Linked DNA regions of Arabidopsis thaliana. The protein of the gene in region 2 interacts with the protein of the main gene of each other region in a pairwise test. Each region holds a gene or a part of one and is shown on either strand. Other genes may lie near its edges. The genes, in order: AT1G72570, OFP10 and bZIP48.

The links.
Region 1: the proteins of OFP10 (region 2) and AT1G72570 interact in a two-hybrid assay, tested with the Arabidopsis thaliana proteins (one large-scale study listed by BioGRID).
Region 3: the proteins of OFP10 (region 2) and bZIP48 interact in a two-hybrid assay, tested with the Arabidopsis thaliana proteins (one large-scale study listed by BioGRID).

The regions. Positions count from the first base shown.
Region 1 is NC_003070.9:27,329,479-27,334,241, forward strand, and holds AT1G72570 (Integrase-type DNA-binding superfamily protein), read left to right. Parts: upstream 1-1,902; coding exon 1,903-1,990; intron 1,991-2,085; coding exon 2,086-2,683; intron 2,684-2,862; coding exon 2,863-2,945; intron 2,946-3,071; coding exon 3,072-3,080; intron 3,081-3,236; coding exon 3,237-3,325; intron 3,326-3,555; coding exon 3,556-3,629; intron 3,630-3,732; coding exon 3,733-3,783; intron 3,784-3,884; coding exon 3,885-3,961; intron 3,962-4,041; coding exon 4,042-4,220; downstream 4,221-4,763.
Region 2 is NC_003076.8:7,362,764-7,366,005, reverse strand, and holds OFP10 (Ovate family protein), read right to left. Parts: upstream 1,318-3,242; coding exon 727-1,317; 3' UTR 580-726; downstream 1-579. Other genes in the region: CAF1b (Polynucleotidyl transferase, ribonuclease H-like superfamily protein), read left to right, coding at 1-401; E2F1 (E2F transcription factor 1), read right to left, coding at 1,886-2,028, 2,145-2,214, 2,345-2,615, 2,701-2,774, 2,855-2,920, 3,008-3,056, 3,134-3,184. UniProt on the Arabidopsis thaliana protein: Transcriptional repressor that may regulate multiple aspects of plant growth and development through the regulation of BEL1-LIKE (BLH) and KNOX TALE (KNAT) homeodomain transcription factors.
Region 3 is NC_003071.7:1,329,761-1,332,922, forward strand, and holds bZIP48 (basic leucine-zipper 48), read left to right. Parts: upstream 1-2,158; coding exon 2,159-2,659; downstream 2,660-3,162. Other genes in the region: AT2G04137 (phosphogluconate dehydrogenase (decarboxylating), NAD-binding domain protein), read right to left, coding at 2,423-2,602, 2,765-2,848.

The DNA.
Region 1 (4,763 bases), on a different chromosome or scaffold from region 2:
AACCCCACTACAAAAACCCTAAAAACCGAGATTTCAAAATCCAGTCCTGGTTTGTTGCATACAAGTCAAACAATGCCTTGAATTAGTATCGTCAGCTAGCTTCTCTCCTTCACTGTTCTCTTCCCTTATCAGATTTTGATGCGAAGAAGAAAAAGACGAAACTTTTAGTGGGTTTCGCTTGAGAGCTTACCAGAAAGTAAGGATCGTGGCGATTTTAGCGATCGGATTTATGAGAGTGGGAGATATAGTAGAAAAGGGATTATGGAAACCCTAGTTTGGGTTTCTCTTTGAATTCAAAGAATACTTTTTTTTGGTGAGTTTCTAGAAAATTTCCCTTACGGATTTATAAATATGAGGAAAATTGTGAGACTGGAGAGAAGACGGAGCTGTAGGGTTTTTTTTTTTTTATACACAGATTTTTATTAGCTTGCAGAATATTTTCCCAGAGAACTATAAATATTATTGCCAGCGAATTGAAAATTAACCGTCATCTGAATTCAGTAAATCAGCCCATGGGCTTGAATCTCTCTCACCTTAGGCCTTAGGTGTTGCATACTGATAGATTAAGATAGACATGTATAAATGTTTTGTGAGTTAGCAAATATAATGGTGTTTTTTCACTTTCTTAATCTAATGTTTTATAAAACAAATTGTCACATTAATACATATAACTAAACTACTTACTGTGAAATTATTCATGGAGACAACTTCTGTAGCTAAGACCTCTCGATTTTTATTTTGTATACTACAAACTAGGTAATTGTAAGAAAAGGTTTGTTCTGTAATGGCATTGTCGATTACCTCGTAGAAGAGGTTGGAATATTTCCGATGCCCGTAGCAAGATATAAAATCACAAATTCATTTTTCAGTTGTTAAAGAAAACAATTGTGGCTTTTTGTGTAGAACGACATTTCGTTATGTGGGTGGCGAGTATGGACAAACTACCCACTAAGTCTTGGTTAACAGCTTGGAACACAATTTCATTTTCTATCTATAAGCAACATATGCAATATAATCAACCAAATAAGAGAGATCACTTATTCTTTTGTTCTATCATATTTTGTGTGTCTGTTTTCAAAGGTTATACCGTCACATTATCCGCTTCTCACACTTGAGGCAAATTTTATGAGTTAGATAGCATATTGCCAAACACTCCAGCTATATATATCTTTTATCTTTTAGATTGATCTTTGTCTAATCTGCGAAAACAGCAAGATCATTTCAGGCTTCTCCATCACAGTTAGAATCATTTTCAAACGGATCGATTGAATGAGCAATCAAAAACACATTTTTATCGTCTAAGGAGAAATTTCCTTGCAATACTACTAATTTTAGTACAAATTTTGTTTACTTTTAAATTATGTAATGTTCTTTAAGTTTATTAAAAAATATCCCAAATTATATCGAAAGAAAGACATTAATAAAAGAAATGTATTATTGTCTAATTAACATATTTCGAAAGAAACAAAATACTGACTTTTTTAAGCGCTACTGTGTGCTTTTTTTACGGAAAAGTTAATCAAATACCAAAGAACGAAAATTTTCATTGTAGTGTGTCATGTGTATCTCCCATATATATATACGTATACATCGAAAAGATCCGAGGGAGAGTGGGCACAAAACTCTAGAAGTCAGATGCAAGTGTGTGTGAAAGAGAATGTGAAAGAGTGAGGGAGAGAGAAACTTCCTCTTCCTTTCTTTCATGCTTACGACAAAACTTCACCGCCACCTGTTTTGTCTCAAATCTTTTTTCCACCTTTTTAATTATATAATTTATTAAATGTTTTAGACTTATGAAAAATATTAATGTATATTCGCACGTATGAGACTACAAATCATATAAAACGAAACCCTATACATATAAACTAAGAGCGAGAAAGACAGCTAGAGAGAGAGAGAGAGATGAAGAAATGGTTGGGATTTTCATTGACACCTCCTTTGAGAATCTGCAATAGTGAAGAAGAAGAACTTAGGCATGACGGTTCCGATGGTACTCTCTTCTTCACACATCATCCCCCTGGTATATATATGTTGTTGGTGTGGCCACTATTAATATTCTTAATTTGATTTCTATTTTATGTGTAGTTTGGAGATATGATATTAACTTTGATCATCATCATCATGATGAAGACGTTCCAAAGGTGGAAGATCTCCTCTCAAACTCTCATCAAACCGAGTATCCTATAAACCATAACCAAACCAATGTCAACTGCACCACTGTGGTTAACAGGTTAAACCCACCCGGTTACCTTCTCCACGACCAAACCGTAGTTACACCACATTACCCGAACCTAGATCCGAACCTTAGCAATGATTATGGAGGTTTTGAGAGGGTCGGTTCGGTCTCGGTTTTCAAATCTTGGTTAGAGCAAGGCACTCCAGCATTCCCACTCTCGAGTCATTACGTTACTGAAGAGGCTGGTACGAGCAATAATATTAGTCATTTTAGTAACGAAGAGACTGGTTATAACACCAATGGCTCAATGCTATCATTGGCTTTGAGCCATGGGGCTTGTTCTGATTTGATCAACGAATCGAATGTATCCGCACGGGTCGAAGAACCGGTTAAGGTAGATGAGAAGCGGAAGAGATTGGTTGTTAAACCTCAGGTAAAGGAATCCGTTCCTCGGAAGTCGGTTGATAGTTATGGACAAAGAACTTCTCAGTATCGTGGAGTTACAAGGTACGTACGTTATTAAATAATGACGTCTCAAACATTTGTTTTGGTTTAAATGATGTCTCAAACTTACACGTAAGAAAAATGTGAATGCCACAATTATGTTACTTATGTATATTTGTCATTTTATTTTGTAGATTATGTATAATTGTGTCGACACATATTTATGTTGTGCGTGTATACAGGCATAGATGGACAGGGAGATATGAAGCTCACTTATGGGATAATAGCTGTAAGAAGGAGGGACAGACAAGGAGAGGAAGACAAGGTCAGAAAAAACAAATACAAAATAATTTTCCGATTCAATATGCTATCATGCATCAATAATCTTACTAACAATTATTTAATTTTGGCTTCGTATGTACTTTCGAATTCGCTTCTTGATCAATCACAGTGTATCTTGGTAAGCCAGAACTTTATTTTACAACCTATTATGCATGAGATCCCTCGTTCATTTCTTGTTGCCCTATTTTTGGCCTTCGAAGTAAAAATTAACCTTGTTACCTTCTGATAATTATAGAAAAACATTTAATAGTAGAATTAATACTTACTAAAATAGGAGGGTATGATGAGGAGGAGAAAGCAGCGAGGGCATATGATTTAGCGGCTCTGAAGTATTGGGGTCCTACCACTCACTTAAATTTCCCTGTGAGTTTGATCTTTCTGGTCCCGTACCTAGCTCCACTTCTAACTCCTTTATTACATGCAAGTGTGTTTTATATATGTACACTTATATACATGCAACATAACAGTTTCCATACTTATTTCGATATTTTGGATCTTGAATGTAATCATTTTCCGATTTTATTGACTTGATTTTGATGGAACTACATAGATTTGGCTTGTGATATCAGTTCCTTTGACGCTCTTTTATTCAGTTGAGTAATTACGAAAAGGAGATCGAGGAACTCAATAACATGAATCGGCAAGAATTTGTTGCCATGTTGAGGAGGTAATTACTCAACAGTGGGTTTGTAATGATATTTATGGACCTTATATAGTCATATGCATTTAACCATTAACAAACGCTTTGTAATTACATATCATAATCATAGGAATAGCAGCGGGTTTTCGAGGGGAGCTTCCGTGTATAGAGGAGTTACAAGGTTTGATTTGGACATATATGTGAAACTTGTATATATTTATATATGTACATGTACATGCATGGAATTAGATCATGATGATCATGCATGTATAACTCATGTAGGCATCATCAACATGGAAGGTGGCAAGCCAGAATTGGAAGAGTTGCTGGAAACAAGGACTTGTACCTTGGAACATTTAGTATGAACCACTTCTATACATATGGAATTATATCATAGCCTTTGAATTATTAAATATCACATTTTGTAACTATGATGAAGGCACGCAAGAAGAAGCAGCGGAGGCGTACGATATCGCGGCAATTAAATTCAGAGGCCTAAACGCTGTAACCAATTTCGATATAAATAGATATGACGTGAAGAGGATATGTTCAAGCTCAACGATTGTTGATAGCGACCAGGCCAAACATTCTCCCACCAGCTCTGGCGCCGGCCACTAACCGACACCGTAAACTCCTCGCCGGAGAGACTATTCCCACGTACGGTTGGTTTGAGGAAATAAGTTCGTCCAGTCTGTTTAATCATTTATGGTTTAATAAACATATATTCCTAAGTAATTGAGGCCGGTCTACATATATACAACTTTTTTAGCAAATTAAGTTATCAGAATCCACTATATATTATTCTCTATGATATACTTTGATTAAATTTCGTTTTTATTTTTAATTGAAAAAAGTTAATGCATTCATTATTTACAGGATCCATAACATAAGTGTTAATTAATTAGTATATATTAACTGCACCAAGTTGAGGAGAGGCGATTCCTCAATTTGTGTGCCTTCTTCTGTCGTGGTCGTACTTTAAGGAAAAGCGTTACAAATTTAAGTGAAACTTATTTAACTCATAATCAAATCCATCCAAGCCTTTGATAGTTTGATTAATTTTGAACCCGTATCGAGCTAATTCCCTCATGCCATGGTGAAAATAATTGGTGTCAATGGAAATTTGAAGGTTTCTATGGACTTCTTGAGATAAACTAAAGT
Region 2 (3,242 bases):
GGTTCGCGGAGCTGATGATGTCATCGGGGTTGATCTGTAACGAGTCTGTGAGCTGGGTGACGTTTCACAGCGCGTATGATTTTGGTTACCTTGTGAAGATTCTCACGCGCCGGCAGCTTCCGGTGGCGTTGCGTGAGTTTTTAGGGTTGCTTAGAGCTTTCTTCGGTGATAGGGTTTATGATGTGAAACATATTATGAGGTTTTGTGAGCAGAGATTGTATGGTGGTTTGGACCGGGTTGCTCGGTCTCTTGAAGTTAACCGGGCGGTTGGGAAATGTCATCAAGCCGGTTCGGATAGTTTGCTGACGTGGCAGGCGTTTCAGAGGATGAGGGATTTGTATTTCGTTGAGGATGGGGCGGAGAAACACGCCGGAGTTTTGTATGGTTTAGAGGTTTTTTGAGGGATTTATAATTAATTAATTTAATTAATCTTTGTTAATCATTTATACAGTCGAAATCGAAATTATCTTATTCATCTCTCGTTTTAACCAAATCCAAAAACCAAAACGAAATAACTCAATTTGGTTTTGTTTAACCAATTTACACTTCAAAACTTTTTGTGCAGTAAAATATTATCGTTACGTTAGAGCTAGGCTTTGAGGTATAACTTTGATTTTTGTTGGTGTTGTTTAATAGTTTACATCTAGTCATGGAATCATAAATTGAAATTATTCACAATATTGTAACATCTATATATAGAGAGAGATATGAGGAGGATTTAGTTCCTCATTTTGAAGAAGTTTGGTGTGAGTCATCATCATTGTTATCAAGAGGATTGTTAACATATAGACGAAGCAATCTCCCAAGTGACTTCCCACGTCGGTCGTGTGGTGGTTGGAGATGTGAACAGACGTCGACAAAAGCACGGACGATGAGATTGTGTTGAGGAGAAGGGTTTATGTCCAAGAAACACCTTAGAAGCTCCTTAAGTTCACTTTCCGTCTCGATATATCTCTCTTCGATCATCTGATTCATCGACTTCTTGTAATCTTCGAACGGATTGATTGATTCTTTAGCCATCGCGACGCTCTCATCGATCTTAGGACATGGGCTGCGTAAAACCGTGGGAGAAACCGGTGGTCCCGGGGTGTAGTGGCTGTGAGAGGAAGGTGGAACGGTAGAGCCGCAACCGCATGCCATAAAAATGGGTTTGAATATGGTTTTGAGTATATACTTCATCATCTTCTTGAAAGACATTTTTTTTTTTACTAGAGGAAGAGAAAACAAGTTGAGATTATTGAGTGAGGATGTTGGTGTGGGAAAGTTTGTTAAAAGAGGAACCTTTTTTTCATTTAACTTAGCTTGGAGATTCAGCATTGCTCATTGCTTTGGAGATGCACAATTTTGATGGATTTCTTTTTTAAGGAAAATAATACCATCTTGAGGTGAATTCAAAGTTATATATGATATCATTTGTAAGAAACTATCTCGAGTGATATCAAAGGATTGGACATAGAAACCGATTTGAACCAAAAAGAAATCTCTCAAACCACAACCGAACCAATATGTTTTCGTCAAGATTTTTGATGAACGGAAATATGTTTTAGTTTCGATCTGGTTACCTTTTTGGTAAACCGGAAATGGAGCATGTAAAACTACTAAGCACCCGTCTACAACTCTAAAAGGTTTTGCAGTTTCACATGAACAAGACCAATATTAAGAAATCAATGGGCTAAGGCTAATTCTATATTAAGCCTGAGAAGCTAACAAAGAAAAAAAATGAAGAATACAACGAAGGGGTTGGTTTCTCTACTTTTATTTTGCAATCTCTATTCTATGATAATGCAATGCAGCTACTGTACAAGTACAACATTAACTCTGGTTTCACCGAAATCAGATTCTATGTACAGATATATGGTGGTGCTTGTAATGTGGTATGGTAACTTCAGCTACCTGTAGGTGATCTCGTAGCAGTGGATTCTTCTGGTGTTGGGCTCGATGGAGTTTGTGGCTGCTCCAAGATTTTGTTGTCGCTCGGTCCAGCGTGGTCTTGATCAAATGTAATCATCTGGTTCCAGTCTGGTCCAGCTAATGATGAAAGAGTCAAGGAGCTCTAAACAGATATCATATTTGGGGAGGAAAAAACTCAAAAGCTCAAAGAGAGATTAGATTAAATCACAGAAAGTGATAGAAATCAAGGATACATTCATCTGGCCACATGTCTGTGATGCTGACTTCGCCTACCTCTGATCGAAACCAGTAATCTACACCCATCTGTATATAATGTAACATACAGGTAAATATGAATTAAGTCAAGCATGATTTTTTAGATATGGTTACTTTTCCAGACTGTGATTATGTACATTGGTGAAAATTTTAAGCTGAGGAAGCAGTTGGGACTTACATCCAAATCTGGAGGAACAATCTTCATGATACCATCGACAAAGTCATGAGATTCGATGTCAGAGTAAACTCTTTGCGTATCATCAACTTCCTGTGTTTCCATGTTTCTTTCGGTGCTTTCCTCTTTCATCGGCATAGATACATCATGGTTCTCAGGGAGACCAGATGTTGATGGAAGATTTGAAGGTACATCAGGGACATTAGAGGGTTCATCAGGAACATTTGAAGGTTCATCAGCCTGAGGAATGTCCTCAAAGCTCTCTTCGAATTGACTAAAAAAGCACAATATAAATGTCAGTCTCACTTCCATGTTACAGATTTATCCAGGGCAAGCATAACGTTTGAGGACAGTGTTACCTGACTAGGTACACGTCTATTGGTCCCATTGTGCTTCTCAGAATGATTCTGTACCTCCTCTGATAACCACCAGCCTGATTAATGGCAGGATAAGAGGTGAGAATCGTTACAGACAGTGCATCGCTCATTTGGTTTTGTGCGCTCTTAAGCTTACCTCATCAGGATCTGGAACCTCAAGAGTTGTTCCATGCGGTGCCTTTACAGCTATCAGCGTCTTATTCTAAAATAGGCACCACAAAAACATGTTTCCCCAGTGAGAAGAATGCAAGGCAAAGAGAAACACGTAATTACTAGAAGGAGACCAGACCTGGAAGCATGGTAGGTTCTTAATGTCGTTTTCAGTGACGAACAGTAACCTAAAAAGTGGAGCGTCAGAACAAACAGATATGTTTTATTGTACCTTTCGGCAGAAGAAATAGCAGGGGACGCTTACCTTTTGTTGTTTTCATCCTCACTCAAGCTTGTTAATCTTTCTTGTGATTCTCTGCAACCAGGTCGACTCTCAAAAAGATGATACAAAACAGCAGAAAAGGGAAGGAAAA
Region 3 (3,162 bases), on a different chromosome or scaffold from region 2:
ATTACTTCTAAAATATATGTATGTCTATATTGTAGGATCTACTAGTAAGGCATAATTTGGATGTAATGCATACAGAAAAGAACGTGGCTCACAGTATTGTATCCACATTGTTGCATTGTGGAAAATCTAAGGATGGTCTTAATGCACGTAAGGATCTGCAACATCTTGGTCTACGACACGCTTTGCATCCTACCACACAAGGAAAGAGAACATATGCACTTAGCTCCTGTATTGCTTTATTTTGTGCTTGAGACTTTTCTTATGTATTTTGGATCTAAACTTATGTTTAATCAATGGTCAATGTATGAGATTTTATAAAGCAGGTTATGTGTTATGTGTACTATAATCACATCTCAGAAAATGCTATAAGAATACAGGTAATAGAATATTTAACATATGACTAATGCTATGTTTTAATCATCTATCGTAGCTTATAAATTGATATAAGAACATAACATAGCACATAATTTGACTAATTATTTTCCAATTGAAAAAAGGCAAACCACGATAAAACAACATTTCGCAACAGCTATATTAGAGATATATAACATAGCACGAAAAATCAAATATTATATAATTTTTTTAAGAAAATTAAACGTGATAATACAACTGTTCTTTATAGCTATGTTATTAAACTATAACATAGCATACTGAACTCACGCTACTGTATGTGAGGTACCTATAATAACAATGCCCTAAAATAGCGTTCATGAAAAAGTTATTAAAGACATATTATAGCATTTTTCTCGTGATAAGAATGTCCATTGTAGTGTAAAAGACATAAAAAATAACATAATACACATAAAGACACTAAGACTTCTAAAATTCAAAAGACTCACTTGGACACTAAATGCAACAAAACTCACAACGAAAAATACTATGACAAAAATCATATCTTTTATATATTCAAATTCATTATTATATTTTCCAAAATATTGAAACAAACGAGATCCTATGTAGAATGGGATAACGCAACAAACATCAAATTACGTTTTTTAACCATAATTAATATTCATAAATACTTCTTAATCATTAATACAAATATTTTTATTAATATCATAATTAAACATAATATATCATGTTTTCGGTTAATCCTCTAAATTTGCTATGATTAGTTTCTATGAATTGATGAATTTCTCTGCGTATCAACATGTCTCACTCTCTAGATATCAACGATTTTAACATTGGATGAATTATTGTCAAATTTATTAATTCGATTGCAAAATTACATTGAAATATGATATAATAAATTAAATATATAAAATTACAAAATAAACTTATTAAATAAAATATATTATAATTATAATTTATGATATAAATTAACAAACTAAAATTTCTACACATATTTCTCCACGATGTAGAGTGTGGGTTCTTATTTAATGATCACTTATAAAGGAAAACGAATGAGGGACAAGTCAGTACTTAATTACTTTAGTTAGTTATATTTTAAACAATAGACATGTCGAATCTTTTAAGTTAAATGCATATAATGGATCGAACTTGGCGCTCAAACGTATCCAATCTTTTAATTAAAGTTTAGCCGCATCACTCTCTCTCTCTCTCTATAAGTTCATTCTAGGGAAGGGAAGCATCCAAACTTGGTTGCGACAAGACAAATGCTAAGGATAGATTTAAACTAAAAGATATGAAAATTTTGTATTAAACATTGTATTTTTTTTTACTGCGTATTAAACATTGTATAAATATTTTTTTTTAATATAATTTACCATAAATTAAAATAAAAAAGGGTTTACGTGTATAAATCTAGGTTACAAAAATAAACAACTCAAGTTAACTATTATTGGGTTTAAATTATATAAAAAAACCAAAATTTTAAAAACCTTCTCGCAGTTTCTGCTCTCACTTCCAATGAACAAGTTATATATAAAACACTAACAATATTTTTGTTATGACTAAACTCTTTCCATTTCTTTGTCCATGTTCCACCACTATAAATTACGAATTATAGCATCGCATTTTTTCTTCTTATTCTATGCTCTTATAATCCATAGGACCCACTTCTACATGATTCTCCTACAACCCCATTATAAAACCCTTGGTCCACTTCCTCCTCTTACTTCAAAACTAACTTCCCAATTCTTCACACAAAATAAAAACACAGAAACTCTTACATACTCATATAAACCAAACTAAAACCATGATTCCGGCAGAAATCAACGGATATTTCCAATATCTATCACCGGAATACAACGTAATAAACATGCCTTCATCTCCAACCTCTTCCTTAAACTACCTAAACGATTTGATCATCAACAACAACAACTATTCCTCATCATCCAACAGTCAAGATCTCATGATAAGCAACAACTCAACTTCCGACGAAGATCATCATCAAAGCATCATGGTACTCGACGAGAGGAAACAGAGAAGGATGCTTTCGAACAGAGAATCTGCAAGGAGGTCAAGGATGAGGAAACAGAGACATCTTGATGAACTCTGGTCTCAGGTAATAAGGCTTCGCAACGAGAACAACTGTCTTATCGATAAGCTGAACCGCGTATCGGAGACTCAAAATTGTGTATTGAAGGAGAACTCTAAACTCAAAGAAGAAGCTTCTGATCTCCGACAGCTTGTTTGTGAACTGAAATCTAACAAGAACAACAACAATAGTTTTCCAAGAGAGTTTGAAGATAATTAGTATTACTCAAAGTGTCCAACTTTATCAGACAAAACGTAATCTATTAACACAATCAAAAGCAGAAAATTTTGGTTTTTATACCTTGGAGAGTGTTCTGTTCTATACAGTGACTTTGAATCCGTTCTTCAATATATTCATTGACATGGACTTTCCCATGATTCCCAAACCCATAGAAAACCCTACTTCCATTTTATCTATCTTCTGCGATTATAGACTTATAGTGCTTACTGCTTAGTGATAATGGTCTAAAATAATGAGACATTTCTAATCAGGGAGCCATTATCATCAAATACTTACTTGAAAAGGAAGTATTTACAGTTTACTCCCTAAACTTTGATTCTTTTTGCATCTCTAACTGGCAGTTTAAGAACGAACAAGATTTCGCCACGTGATTGAAATTTGGCTAAAACTCCAGTGTCATTTGGAATCTTATTTTACTCCAGTCGGGCACGTTAGAAGTTCTCAATCAAATTTATTTGCGGAGTACTAATCTGAATTTACAA